3 linked regions of the Macaca fascicularis genome follow. The protein of the gene in region 1 binds, or shares a complex with, the protein of each later gene. Links are inferred from orthologs where the notes say so. Each region holds a gene or a part of one and is shown on either strand. Other genes may lie near its edges. The genes, in order: CUL1, CAND2 and CCNF.

Region 1 (3,648 bases):
TAAAAAGAAAGAGAAGTACCTTCGTAAATGCTAACAATGTCCTTTATAATATGAAAATATTTTAAAGTGAAATCTGTTAGAGCATTGTCATAATTGCCATTTGATGTGGAAACTTTGAATAAACTAAAGGGAAATTATTTACCGTAAGACTGTACAACTCCACTAATCAATCTTGTATTGATGGTTTCACCATTCCTTTCCTTTTCAATCAGCTTTAAAACAGCATTTGTTACCTTTAGAAAGGATGTAGAAAAATATTACACAGGTTATAGAATATGATAGATATTACTACATATCCCTTAAACATTCACAGCCATTAAACAATGTAAGATGGGATAATCCAAAGGAGTGAGCAGACAAAGGCTAAGCAACGAAACTGTGAAGGGATTTTAAAAGGAACACGCACACGCACACGCTTACACCAGTAGGTACCTGTTTATTCAGTGGCCTGAACAGACAGTCTCTCCAAGTCACCAATGCAAGCTGGAGAAAAAAAAGTACAAAATATCTATACTTTTACTATGTTTTTCCAAGATTGAAGTCGTAGGAAATAATCTAAATCTCAAATTACTTCATCAAAATTTCTAGATTACAAGTTGGTCAAAATCTGCTATCATGACGAAATCAGAAAGCCACTCTCTAGAGTCAACAACTTCAAGAGGTATCCAAGCACAGACATTTGTCAGCTCAACTTCTTTATTTATATTTTCTTTAACTGTTGTTGAAAACAGTATAGGAAAAGTTTAAAAACCGTAATTATTTTTAGGAGTCTGTGATGTGACTGTAGGGTACACATTTAGGCCAAGCAGGTTTCCAAAAGCAAATGAACCAAGATCATCCTGATTCCTATACTAACAACTTTGGAGTCTCAAGAAAGCATTTATATGTGAAAAAGAAAAAAAATCCCATTAGCTATTCCACAATACACACATATTTCAAAAAGGCATGGTGTACACATTTTTGTCAGTTAAAAAAATAAACAAAATGTTAAAGGGGAAGCACAAAAACCCCAAATCAAACAACTAAACCTAGAAAGTTTTGTTAGAACCAGACTAACTACATAGCAAAGTATCATTATGAACCAATTAACAATTTTGGTATAGAAACTGGAGTTACACAAACAATAAAAACAAGTCATGCATCCGGGATACATTATGCTTTTCTTTCTTTTCTTTTTTTTCTTTAGACAGGATCTCACTCTGTCCAGTGGTACGATCATGGCTAACTGCACCCTCCACCTCCTGGGCTCAAGCGATCCTCCTACCTCAGCCTCATGTGTGGCTGGGACTATAGGTGCCTCACCATGCCTGGATACATTTTTTTGTACGTCTCATTATGCTGCCCAGGCTGGTCTCCTGTCTCGGTCTCCCAACGTGCTAGGATTACAAGCATGAGCCACTGCAACCAGCATTATGTTTTTCTTTTAAATTTGTCAAAAGTGAAGCTACAAAGTATTGCTATTATAGCAACATTCTTGGATATGGTGATTAACTTCTTTATGTAGAATCTGACATTTTAACAAAACTAGTTTTAAAGGGCATTGCCTGTGTTGATCACGAACAGACTGTTCTGAGTCCTCCCTTAATTGCTCTAGAACACTGGTTCTCAAACTGGAGCATGCATCAGAATTGTCTGGAGAGCTTCTGAGTCCTCCCTTAATTGCTCTAGAACACTGGTCCTCAAACTGGAGCATGCATCAGAATTGTCTGGAGAGCTTGGTAAAACATTGCTGGGCCCCATCTCCAGAGTTTCTCCTTAAGTCTAGGATGAGGCCTAAGAATGTGCATTTCTAACAAGTCCCCAGGTGATGCTGACAGAGCAGGTTTGGGGACGTGATACGGTTTGGCTATGCCCCCAGCCAAATCTCACCTTGAACTATAGCTCCCATAATTCCCACATGTTGCGGGAGGCACTCAGTGGGAGAGAGCTGAATCATGGGGGTGGTTCCCCCACACTGTTCTCATGGTAGTGAATAAGTCTCACGAGATATGATGGTTTTATAAGGGTTTCTGCTTTCGCTTGGCTCTCATTCTGTCTTGCCTGCCACCATGTAAGATGTGCCTTCTGCCATGATTATGAGGCCTTCCCAGCCACGTGGAACTGTTGAGCCCATTAAACTTTTCTTTATAAATTACCCAGTCTCACGCAGTTTATCAGAAGTTATGAAAACAGACAAATATGGGACCATACTTTGAAAGCCAATGGACAAAAAAACCCCTTTTGCTGACTGAAGCAACATATATTAATGAGAGTGATTTAGTAATTAATTCAGGGTCCTCTCCCTGAAGCAGGGTTTCCCAGACTATAAAGCATGGGAGGGCTAATCCTCAGGGCTCGCCCTCAGGTATGGCACCTGATTTGCCTGGGACTGCCACGACTCAGGACTTTCAGTGAGAAAACTCAGGCAGTTCCATGCCAATTGTGATGGTAGGGTCAGGTAATTAAAGAAGAAATTTTTAAAAAGCAAATGCAGAAATGGACAAATTGTATTTTAGAACTCCAATTTACCCATTCCTCTACTTTCTTGCTAAAAAATATTTAAGGGACATTTATTGATAAAACAATGAAAATTAGTTTACTACTCTGAAAAAAGCTTAATATTTGCCTAGATTCTCTTACTAAAAGACAATTTATCATTTTAAAAAAACACATTTAAAACAAAACTCTTACTGAATAGATTTCATATATTCCTTTTCGTCCTTCGTCACATTCACGGCGAACCCAATGTCTATTGAGGTAGGCACAAATTCCATTCAGTACTTTGCTTGAAAATCGATAATCTTCCCATTGTTGAGTGTAGAATTTCAGTACACTCTCATCCATCAAATCTTCTCCATCCTAAAAACAAGTTAACTAAAGCTTTAAGATGACTAATTTGTCACATTATAAATTAAAAATAAAAGTGAGTAACATCTACTGTATTAAAATACATTGATACATGTGATTTTAGATGGCTTCTTTAAATTATTCTGTATACAAAAACATGCTAATAAACTCACAAGAATATAGTAAAAACAATTCTTTCATCTCAAATTAAACAGGAACATTTTTCATGGTATTAAATATCCACAAACACTCAAAAAAAGTACCCTGAACATTTGATATGCAGGTAATTCCTTTTTATTAAGAAATTTACCTCAAAATCATCTGTATTTTTAATATTTTGTTTAAAAAAGAAATTGGCCAGGTACAGTGGCTCACACCTGTAATCCTAGCACTTTGGGAGGCCAAGGTGGGCAGATCACTTGAGGTCAGGAGTTCAAGACCAGCCTGGCCAACATGGTGAAACTCTGTCTCTACTAAAAATACAAAAGTTAGCTGGCCGTGATGGTGCATGCCTGTAGTCCCAGCTATTCGGGAGGCTGAGGCAGGGAACTCGCTTGAACCCAGGAGACGGAGGCTGCAGTGAGCCAAGATCCTACCACTGCACTCTAGCCTGGGCAACAGAGCAAGACTCTGCCGCCCCCCCTCCCCCGCAAAAAAGAAATCAAATCAACATGTCCTACTCAGCAATTCAGACAACGAGGCTAATACTATTCAATTTTTAAATGTATCTTCTTCCTTCTTAAACCATCAAAACACTTTTTTGTGGTAATCTGTAAAAATAATGTGAGTACGATAGTATAACAATACTTCCTCTTTAACAAG
Region 2 (3,648 bases), on another chromosome or scaffold:
ATGCAGATAGTAAGAGTTTCTCACGTTCATTTGACAGATGAGGAAAGCAAGGCTTTGAGGTGTGATGGACATGCCAGGCCCACCCATGATTTAGTGGCAGTAGGGAGGCAGGGATGTGAACCCAGGCCTTTTAACTGGAGGGCCAGGCCCTGCTGCCCATCATGGGCATGCCTCCCAGGTCTCCCACTGCCCTTAGCTATCAGGTAGGAAATATCAGCCCAAGCTTAAGGACTGGGTGGGGGCACTGAACAAGGTAGGGGAGGCAGGAGGGAGGTGCTCACCGATGAAGCTCTTCAGGAGGGGGTCAATGGGATGGGGCTGGTCCGAGATGAGGAACTTGACCGCTGTGATGACAGTGCTCCGGGTGTGTGGCCGACCTGCAGAACAAGAGGAGGTGGAGGTGAGTTAGTAAGGGGCAGGGGCCAAACCTGGATGCTTACAGGTCAGAAGGTGCAGAGGCTCCTCCCCTTGCTTCCCTGGAAGACAGAACTGTACCCCCTCCCCATCTCTGGGAAAGTGGATTCTACCATTTCCCTTGGCAGCCTTGACTCTCCCCTCAATCCTTCATGCTGTAGCTGAAACAGTAGGACTGCCAGTGCTTAGGTAACCACACCACAGGTTGCAAACAGGGAACCGATAACCAAGACAGGAACTGCTCTGACAAAGACCTTCCCTCAGGCCTTGGGATTTTTCAGACATGTTATCTCAATTAGTCCTAACAATGATCCTATTAATTAATAATGATAAAATAGTATTAAAATCACCAATAAAAATCATCTCTTTGACACATGAGAAAAGAGACTCAGAGAGGATAAGTTCGTGTCTAAGGCCGCACAGCAGATCCAGAATTCCTGGCTGGGCCCTTCCTCCTGGGCCTGCATTCTGGCTGGTGGTCAGGGGGGCCTAACAGAACTCGGATCATCTCCAGGCTCGGTCGCGGAGAGCTCGCTTACTTGTGCTCTGCTGCTTGCTTTCTGAGTAGAGAAGCCGAATAAAGAGGGGGAGGGCATTCCCTTAATGAAAGAAACAAATGGGTGGATGCTCCACCTGCCTGAATCTCTCCTCAGTGGCTTGCCCCGCTTGCCCCCCACCCAACCCCCAGCACACTGCAGCGAGTGGGCTAAGGTGCTTCCACCACACAGGCTTTACGTTCAGCCTCGAGGAAAAGTTTACCAATTGGTGCTAAGGCATGAATGAATGGAAGAGTTACTGAACTCAGACTTTTAGCTTTTACCTCTTTCTCTTGCCAGCCTGACTGGCTCCCAGGAAGATTTAGGGTGGCTGATGAAGACAGGCACAAGAGAGTTAGATTAAGTGAACTGAAAACAAGAACAAGGCCAAGGACGACTGAAGGCAGAGAGGTGAGAAGGAGACTAGAAGGAAGACGTACAGAGAGCATCAGTTAGGAAGTTCCAGGAACCTACTAGAAGCAGGCCACTCATCTGGCTCTAAGCTTCCCAGCAGTTGGTGGTAAAAAGGAAATGTGACCAGGTGGCTGGTTCAACAGAATACGTGGGACAGAAACAAATAGGTGTTTAGGCAAAGCAGGGCTCCTCTGCATCTTAAGACTCTCGTCTGTCAAGGTTCTTTGTGTGATGTAACAGACAGTGTCCTCGACAATGTTCTTCCATCTAGTCATGAGGCCAGACAACTGCTTCTTATGAACCCAGCAACCCAAGAAGGCCTTAACTGAAATCACTAACATACCTAGTAACAGCAGCAGCTCTCAACTTACTCAGTATTAATTACTGTAGGTACCACACAGTGTACCAAACACTGTACCTGCGTTCTGTCAACCAGAGCACCCACTGGTTCCATAAGGGGCCAGCTGGCCAGCTTGAAGCCCACTGGCCTTTCATTCTGGGGACTCTCCCTTTCCTAGGAGCCCCACGACCCCACCTGCCTGCCTTCCACCTCCTGAAGCTAAGATACCTGGTGTGCCAAAACATGACAAACCAAAACGCCTGCCCCTCCTGGTTCTTGCCCAGCCCTCCCCAAGCCTCAGGGGCATGTCAGCCTGTTCCAGTCCATACTGACATCTGCTCATGGCTCAGGCTAGCTGAAAAGAGCTGACCCTCTGCAGGTTGCAGTCTATGCTACTCAGAAAACTGTTTTTGTTGACCTCTGTGTGGAGCACTAAGCTACTGTCCACATCGAGGATTATGAAGTTGGCATCATGAGTTTTTTTTTTTTTTTTTTGTAGAGGCGGGGTCTCATCATGTTACCCAGGCTGGTCTCAAACTCCTAGGCTCAAGTGATCCACCCACTTTAGCCTCCCAAAGTGCTGGGATTACAGACATGTGCCACCATGCCTAGCCTACATCATGAGATTTTTAAGTGTATTTGTTGTAGGGACCTATCAAGGACTCTGTCCCTTCTATCCCACAGTCCCATAGAAGGGAGCCTTTAAGTCTCAGGTATCACTGTGTGTTCCTCTGTAGCTTCCTTGCCTCTGTCGCATAGATACCATGATTCTTGTACCCAACGACTTGAAATAGCTCACTCTGCCCCAGCTGCTTGGATGCTCAGTGACAAACTGCCCACCTCCGCGCTGGGTTGCCTTGCCCACACCTGTGTGCCTACCTGCAGCAAGCTGCTTCCGGAAGCGGGGCAGAAGGAACGAAGGGTTCACAAGGACCAGCTTCCCAATGCACTCAGCCACCACCCCCCGGGTGCCCTCCTCAGCGCCCTCGCAGCGCCGGAACAGCAGGGCCCAGACGTCCTCAGCGTAGGGCTTCAGGCTGTCAGGCTGGGCGGCCCCCAGGGCCTCCCTAAGTGAGTGCAGCAGCAGGTACTGTCGTCGGGGCTCAGCCTCGATCTGCTCCAGCAGGAAGGGCAGGAAGTCGGGCAGGCTGCCAGCACCCACACGGCCCAGTGCATACGAGGCCGCAGCCCTCACATCCTCACTGGGTGACCCCAAGGCTTCCAGGAGCACTGCCTTCAGCTCCCGCTGGGGGCCTGGCCCAGCCACCTGACCCACCTCAGCCAGCGACAGGAATGCCAGGACTTTGACCCCCATGCTGGAGTGGGGCGACCTGGCATCGCAGACCAGACGGTTGGCTGTGCTTGCCGCCTCTTGGGGACAGGCAGCTGAGAGGGCTGCCACACACCGGGCCAATGAGTGGAACACCTGCTTGTGCAGGCCAGGCCCACCATCCACAGCCTGCTCATAAACAGGAGCAGTGAGCAGGCTGATGAGTTTAGCATAGTCCACACACGGGGGACGGGTCCCCACCAGGGCCTGCAGGAAGCCTTCAGCGGCTGCCAGAACCCCGGCTGGCAACAGAGGCGAACGCAGCAGCCGCAGCAGCTCTGAGAGCACAGGGCCACTGACCTCTACCAAAGAGGCTGGCTGGGCCTGGGTCACTGTGGCAAGGAAGTCCACAGCCAGCTGGGCCACGTGCATGTCACTCTCGTTGACCAGGGCAGGCAGCTCAGCCAGCACAGCCTGCACGGCAGACGGTGGGAGGCTGAGGCCCTGGCTCTGGGCCAGGGCATCCAGGGCTGCCAGTGTGGCCAGTCGCAAAGCCCGCTGATTCTTCCGCAGGAATGAGGCCAGAATGGGCAGTGCCTCGGCCAGGATGGGCTGTAGATCAAGCTGCAGCGGGGACACAGCCACCAGCGTAAGCGCCTTGACGGCAGGCAGCC
Region 3 (3,648 bases), on another chromosome or scaffold:
AGCCAGGTTATTTGGTCGGGCCCAACAGGTGGAGTTGAAATTGCAGACAGGGACGCATGGAGAATGCCTGCCCTAGTTCCCACGCGCTGCTCTTTCCGCAGGTACATTCTGATCGACTGGCTGGTGGAAGTTGCCACCATGAAGGACTTCACAAGCCTGTGTCTGCACCTGACCGTGGAGTGTGTGGACCGGTACCTGCGGAGGAGGCTGGTGCCGCGGTACAGGCTCCAGCTGCTGGGCATCGCCTGCATGGTCATCTGCACCCGGTGAGAAGCCCCCTCGGCCCAGCTGGCAGGGACGTCCTGGCCTGTCCTGGGTTCAGGGTCACCTGCCCTTCACGTGCTCCTCACTGGTTTGTTTTTTTTTTTGGAAACCAATTCTCGCTCTGTCACCCAGGCTGGAGTGCACTGGTGCGATCTCGGCTCGCCGTAACCTCCACCTCCCAGGTTCAAGCGATTCTTCTGCCTCAGCCTCCAGAGTAGCTGGGACTGCAGGCGTGCACCACCATGCCCGCCTAATTTTTTTGTATTTTTAGTAGAGATAGGGTTTCACCATGTTGGTCAGGCTGGTCTCAAACTCTTGATTTCAAATTATCTACCCGCCTCGGCCTCCCAAAGTGCTGGGATTACAGGCATGAGCCACTGCACCTGGCCCTTACTGGTTCTTGACTCATGAGCCGTGAGTGTCCCACCTGGTCAGACGTGGAGTGCCATACTGAGGGCCTCTGCAGGCAGGGGTGATGGAACAGCCTTCAGCGTGTGGGGGCCACTGTGTGGGGTGCCTGCATCCAGGCAATTTGTCCTGGTGTGCAGTCTCAGGACCCAGAGTGTGGCCTCACTCTGGCAGGCACAGGCTGAACCGCCCTGTCCCCTGGCTCCTGAGGGCGGCAGGATGACTGACTGGGGAGGGTGGCAGTCGGCTGCCCTTCTCTGAAGTCAGGTTCTAAAGTCTGTTGCCAGAGTTTCCTACACTATTGGAGTTAGAGGGTTTTTCGTCCCCCACTGGTGCCCTGCAGAGCCCACTCCAACCACATGGGTGTCTCTCAGCAGCAGGGTGCGTCCTTACACGGCAGTCTGTCCCTTTCACATCAGACCACTGCTTTCCTTTAACTAATGCAGGATCCCCTAGTTCCGCCTTTGGGAATAACGTGGAAATGATTCTCACAATACGTTTTGCATTTCCTAAACCAGCTGTCCCCAGCATGGTCTACATTTCCCAAGGAAGTGCTTTCCAGACCAACTCCTCTGTAGAGCCTGGTGGGTGAGGATAGGCTTGGCTGCACACAGCATATGTGTAAGCTACAGAGACTTGTTTCTCTCTTGCACAGGTAACCCAGAGGCAGAGGGTCCGGGCTCAGGTCATTGGGATGTTTTTTGTTTCACGAGGAAGCAGAGGAACCCCATCTCCCATGTTAATCTCTGCCACCAGCTAGGGTGCTGCCCTTGTCCCTGTGACACCTGTACCTGCCACATTTACCTTTGCACTGAGCTTAGTCTTGTGGCCACATCTCACCAGATGGGAACTGGGAGGTGCAGTCTCTTTGGGCCTGCGTGTGCCGGCTCAATGCAGTGTCATTCCCACGGAAGGAGGGAGCAACCCCTGCCACAAGCATCCAGAGCTGTCTTCAGATGTGCTCTTGGGCCTGAATCCAGCATCCCAGGTCTTCCTACCAGAGACAGCTGAGGAGGTTGGGTGGCCGCCTCCCTGGATCTGACCACATATCCATCACCGCAACCTACGACCAAGCTCCTGGGCCACAAACCGGCTGGCAGTGAGAGAATAACCACTAAAAACGTTTCAGGGAGCTGAGTCCAATTTCTTCCCCAACCACAAGACCTGATTGCGGTGGTCCATATAATTATCATCACAGCTCCCTCAAATCAATTCTGCCTTATCTTTTTTTTTTCAAGCTGGGGGACCAGGCACGGTGGCTCACACCTGTAATCCCAGCACTTTGGGAGGCCAGTGTGGGCAGATCATGAGGTCAGGAGTTCAAGACCAGCCTGGCCAACATGGTGAAACCCCGTCTCTACTAAAGATACAAAAAATTGGCCGGGCGCGGTGGCTCAAGCCTGTAATCCCAGCACTTTGGGAGGCCGAGACGGGCGGATCACGAGGTCAGGAGATCGAGACCATCCTGGCTAACATGGTGAAACCCCGTCTCTATTAAGAAATACAAAAAACTGGCCGGGCGCGGTGGCTCAAGCCTGTAATCCCAGCACTTTGGGAGGCCGAGACGGGCGGATCACGAGGTCGGGAGATCAAGACCATCCTGGCTAACACGGTGAAACCCCGTCTCTACTAAAAAAAATACAAAAAACTAGCCGGGCGAGGTGGCGGGCGCCTGTAGTCCCAGCTACTCGGGAGGCTGAGGCAGGAGAATGGCGTGAACCCGGGAGGCGGAGCTTGCAGTGAGCTAAGATCCGGCCACTGCACTCCAGCCTGGGCGACAGAGCGAGACTCCGTCTCAAAAAAAAAAAAAAAAAGATACAAAAAATTAGCTGGGCGTGGTGGTGGGCGCCTGTAATCCTAGCTACTCAGGAGGCTGAGGCAGGAGAATCACTTGAACCCGGGAGGCAGAGGTTGCAGTGAACCAAGATCGCACCATTGCACTCCAGCCTGGGCAATGGGGCAAGACTCTGTCTCTAAATAAATAAATAAATAAATAAGCAAGCTGGACGTGGTGGTGGGCGCCTGTAGTCCCATCTACTTGGGAGGCTGAGACATGAAAATCGCTTGAACCCGGGAGGCGTAGGTTGCAGTGAGCCGAGATCACGCCACTGCACTAATCCAGCCTGGGTGACAGAGGGAAACTCTGTCTCAAAAAAAAAAAGGTTTTAAAGGCTGAGCTGCCCGCCACCTCTGCTCTCAGAAGTGCCCTGCCCCAACCAGCCACCTCACACCCTACGCTGGGCTCCCTGTTGGCTACTGACATCTCATCTTTTTGGCGTCTGCAGTCCCTGCGCTGGCAGGTGTAGTCCCCGTGCCTCTTGTCCTCTTGGTCAAGTGAATGACACATGCAACCTGCAGAATCCCCAGGACGGAGCAGCCAAGAGACTTGGCCTCAGTCCAACGGGAAGGTGCTTTGCAGGGGCCACTGGAGCAGCGTGTTCCCTGATAGTTGGCGCTGGTAGACAGCAGAGAACAGGGTGACCCCTGCCTGGGGACAGTCAGGATTCCAGTCAGGATTCCTGTGGCCACACAGTACCGGGCACAGATTTTCCAACAACCCTTGGGCCCTTTGCCTCCAATTCCTAGATCTGGTGGCTTACCCACCTTCTGAGTCTAAAACATTTCCACCCCACTGATAGAGCTGTCACGTGACGGGCAAATCTCTGTCTTTGGTGTCTTTTAGCAAACTGAATGCTGGTGGCACTTGGGCCTTTTGCAGACATTTGTGAGTCTGCCTAACAGCCCTGCTGCTTTCTGTCTGCCTTGTGGCTCTCATCCTTCTTTCCAGCACTTTCTGACCTCCCCCCTATTGTTACGATGATGATTATTTTTTGAGACAGGGTCTTGCTCTGTCACGCAGGTTGGAATGCAGTGGTATAATCATAGCTCACTGCATCCTCAACTTCCTGGGCTTAAGCAATCCTCCCACCTCAGCCTCCCAAGTAACTGAGACTATAGGCACATGCCACCATGCTC

What was found.
Region 2: the proteins of CUL1 (region 1) and CAND2 are in contact, whole or in part, in a cryo-EM structure (PDB 8VVY), measured with the Homo sapiens proteins. The link is inferred for Macaca fascicularis from reciprocal best matches to the Homo sapiens genes CUL1 and CAND2. Residues at the interface, in NP_001357589.1 of Homo sapiens: Val31, Thr33, Arg34, Gln35, Met37, Lys39, Tyr42, Met111, Asp112, Trp123, Arg127, Phe128, Val132, Asn181, Leu184, Glu188, Gly193, Glu194, Thr195, Asn197, Thr198, Arg199, Ser202, Gln206, Val209, Glu210, Gly212, Leu213, Asn214, Lys221; in NP_001155971.1 of Homo sapiens: Asp21, Phe22, Phe24, Met25, Asn61, Gly62, Glu63, Gln65, Asn66, Leu67, Glu100, Gln101, Asp104, Asp156, Asp160, Leu189, Ala190, Lys193, Arg194, Glu276, Gln280, Asp343, Asp344, Trp349, Lys350, Arg353, Glu389, Ser492, Ser493, Thr494.
Region 3: CUL1 (region 1) and CCNF share a complex: the UniProt entries of both Homo sapiens proteins name them as parts of the SCF(CCNF) complex. The link is inferred for Macaca fascicularis from reciprocal best matches to the Homo sapiens genes CUL1 and CCNF.

What each region holds. Positions count from the first base shown.
Region 1 is NC_088377.1:190,410,883-190,414,530, reverse strand, and holds part of CUL1 (cullin-1), read right to left. Parts: intron 2,839-3,648; coding exon 2,671-2,838; intron 484-2,670; coding exon 433-483; intron 234-432; coding exon 143-233; intron 1-142. UniProt on the Homo sapiens protein: Core component of multiple cullin-RING-based SCF (SKP1-CUL1-F-box protein) E3 ubiquitin-protein ligase complexes, which mediate the ubiquitination of proteins involved in cell cycle progression, signal transduction and transcription.
Region 2 is NC_088376.1:151,116,389-151,120,036, reverse strand, and holds part of CAND2 (cullin-associated NEDD8-dissociated protein 2), read right to left. Parts: coding exon 2,584-3,648; intron 378-2,583; coding exon 282-377; intron 1-281.
Region 3 is NC_088394.1:3,216,488-3,220,135, forward strand, and holds part of CCNF (cyclin-F), read left to right. Parts: intron 1-101; coding exon 102-266; intron 267-3,648. UniProt on the Homo sapiens protein: Substrate recognition component of a SCF (SKP1-CUL1-F-box protein) E3 ubiquitin-protein ligase complex which mediates the ubiquitination and subsequent proteasomal degradation of target proteins.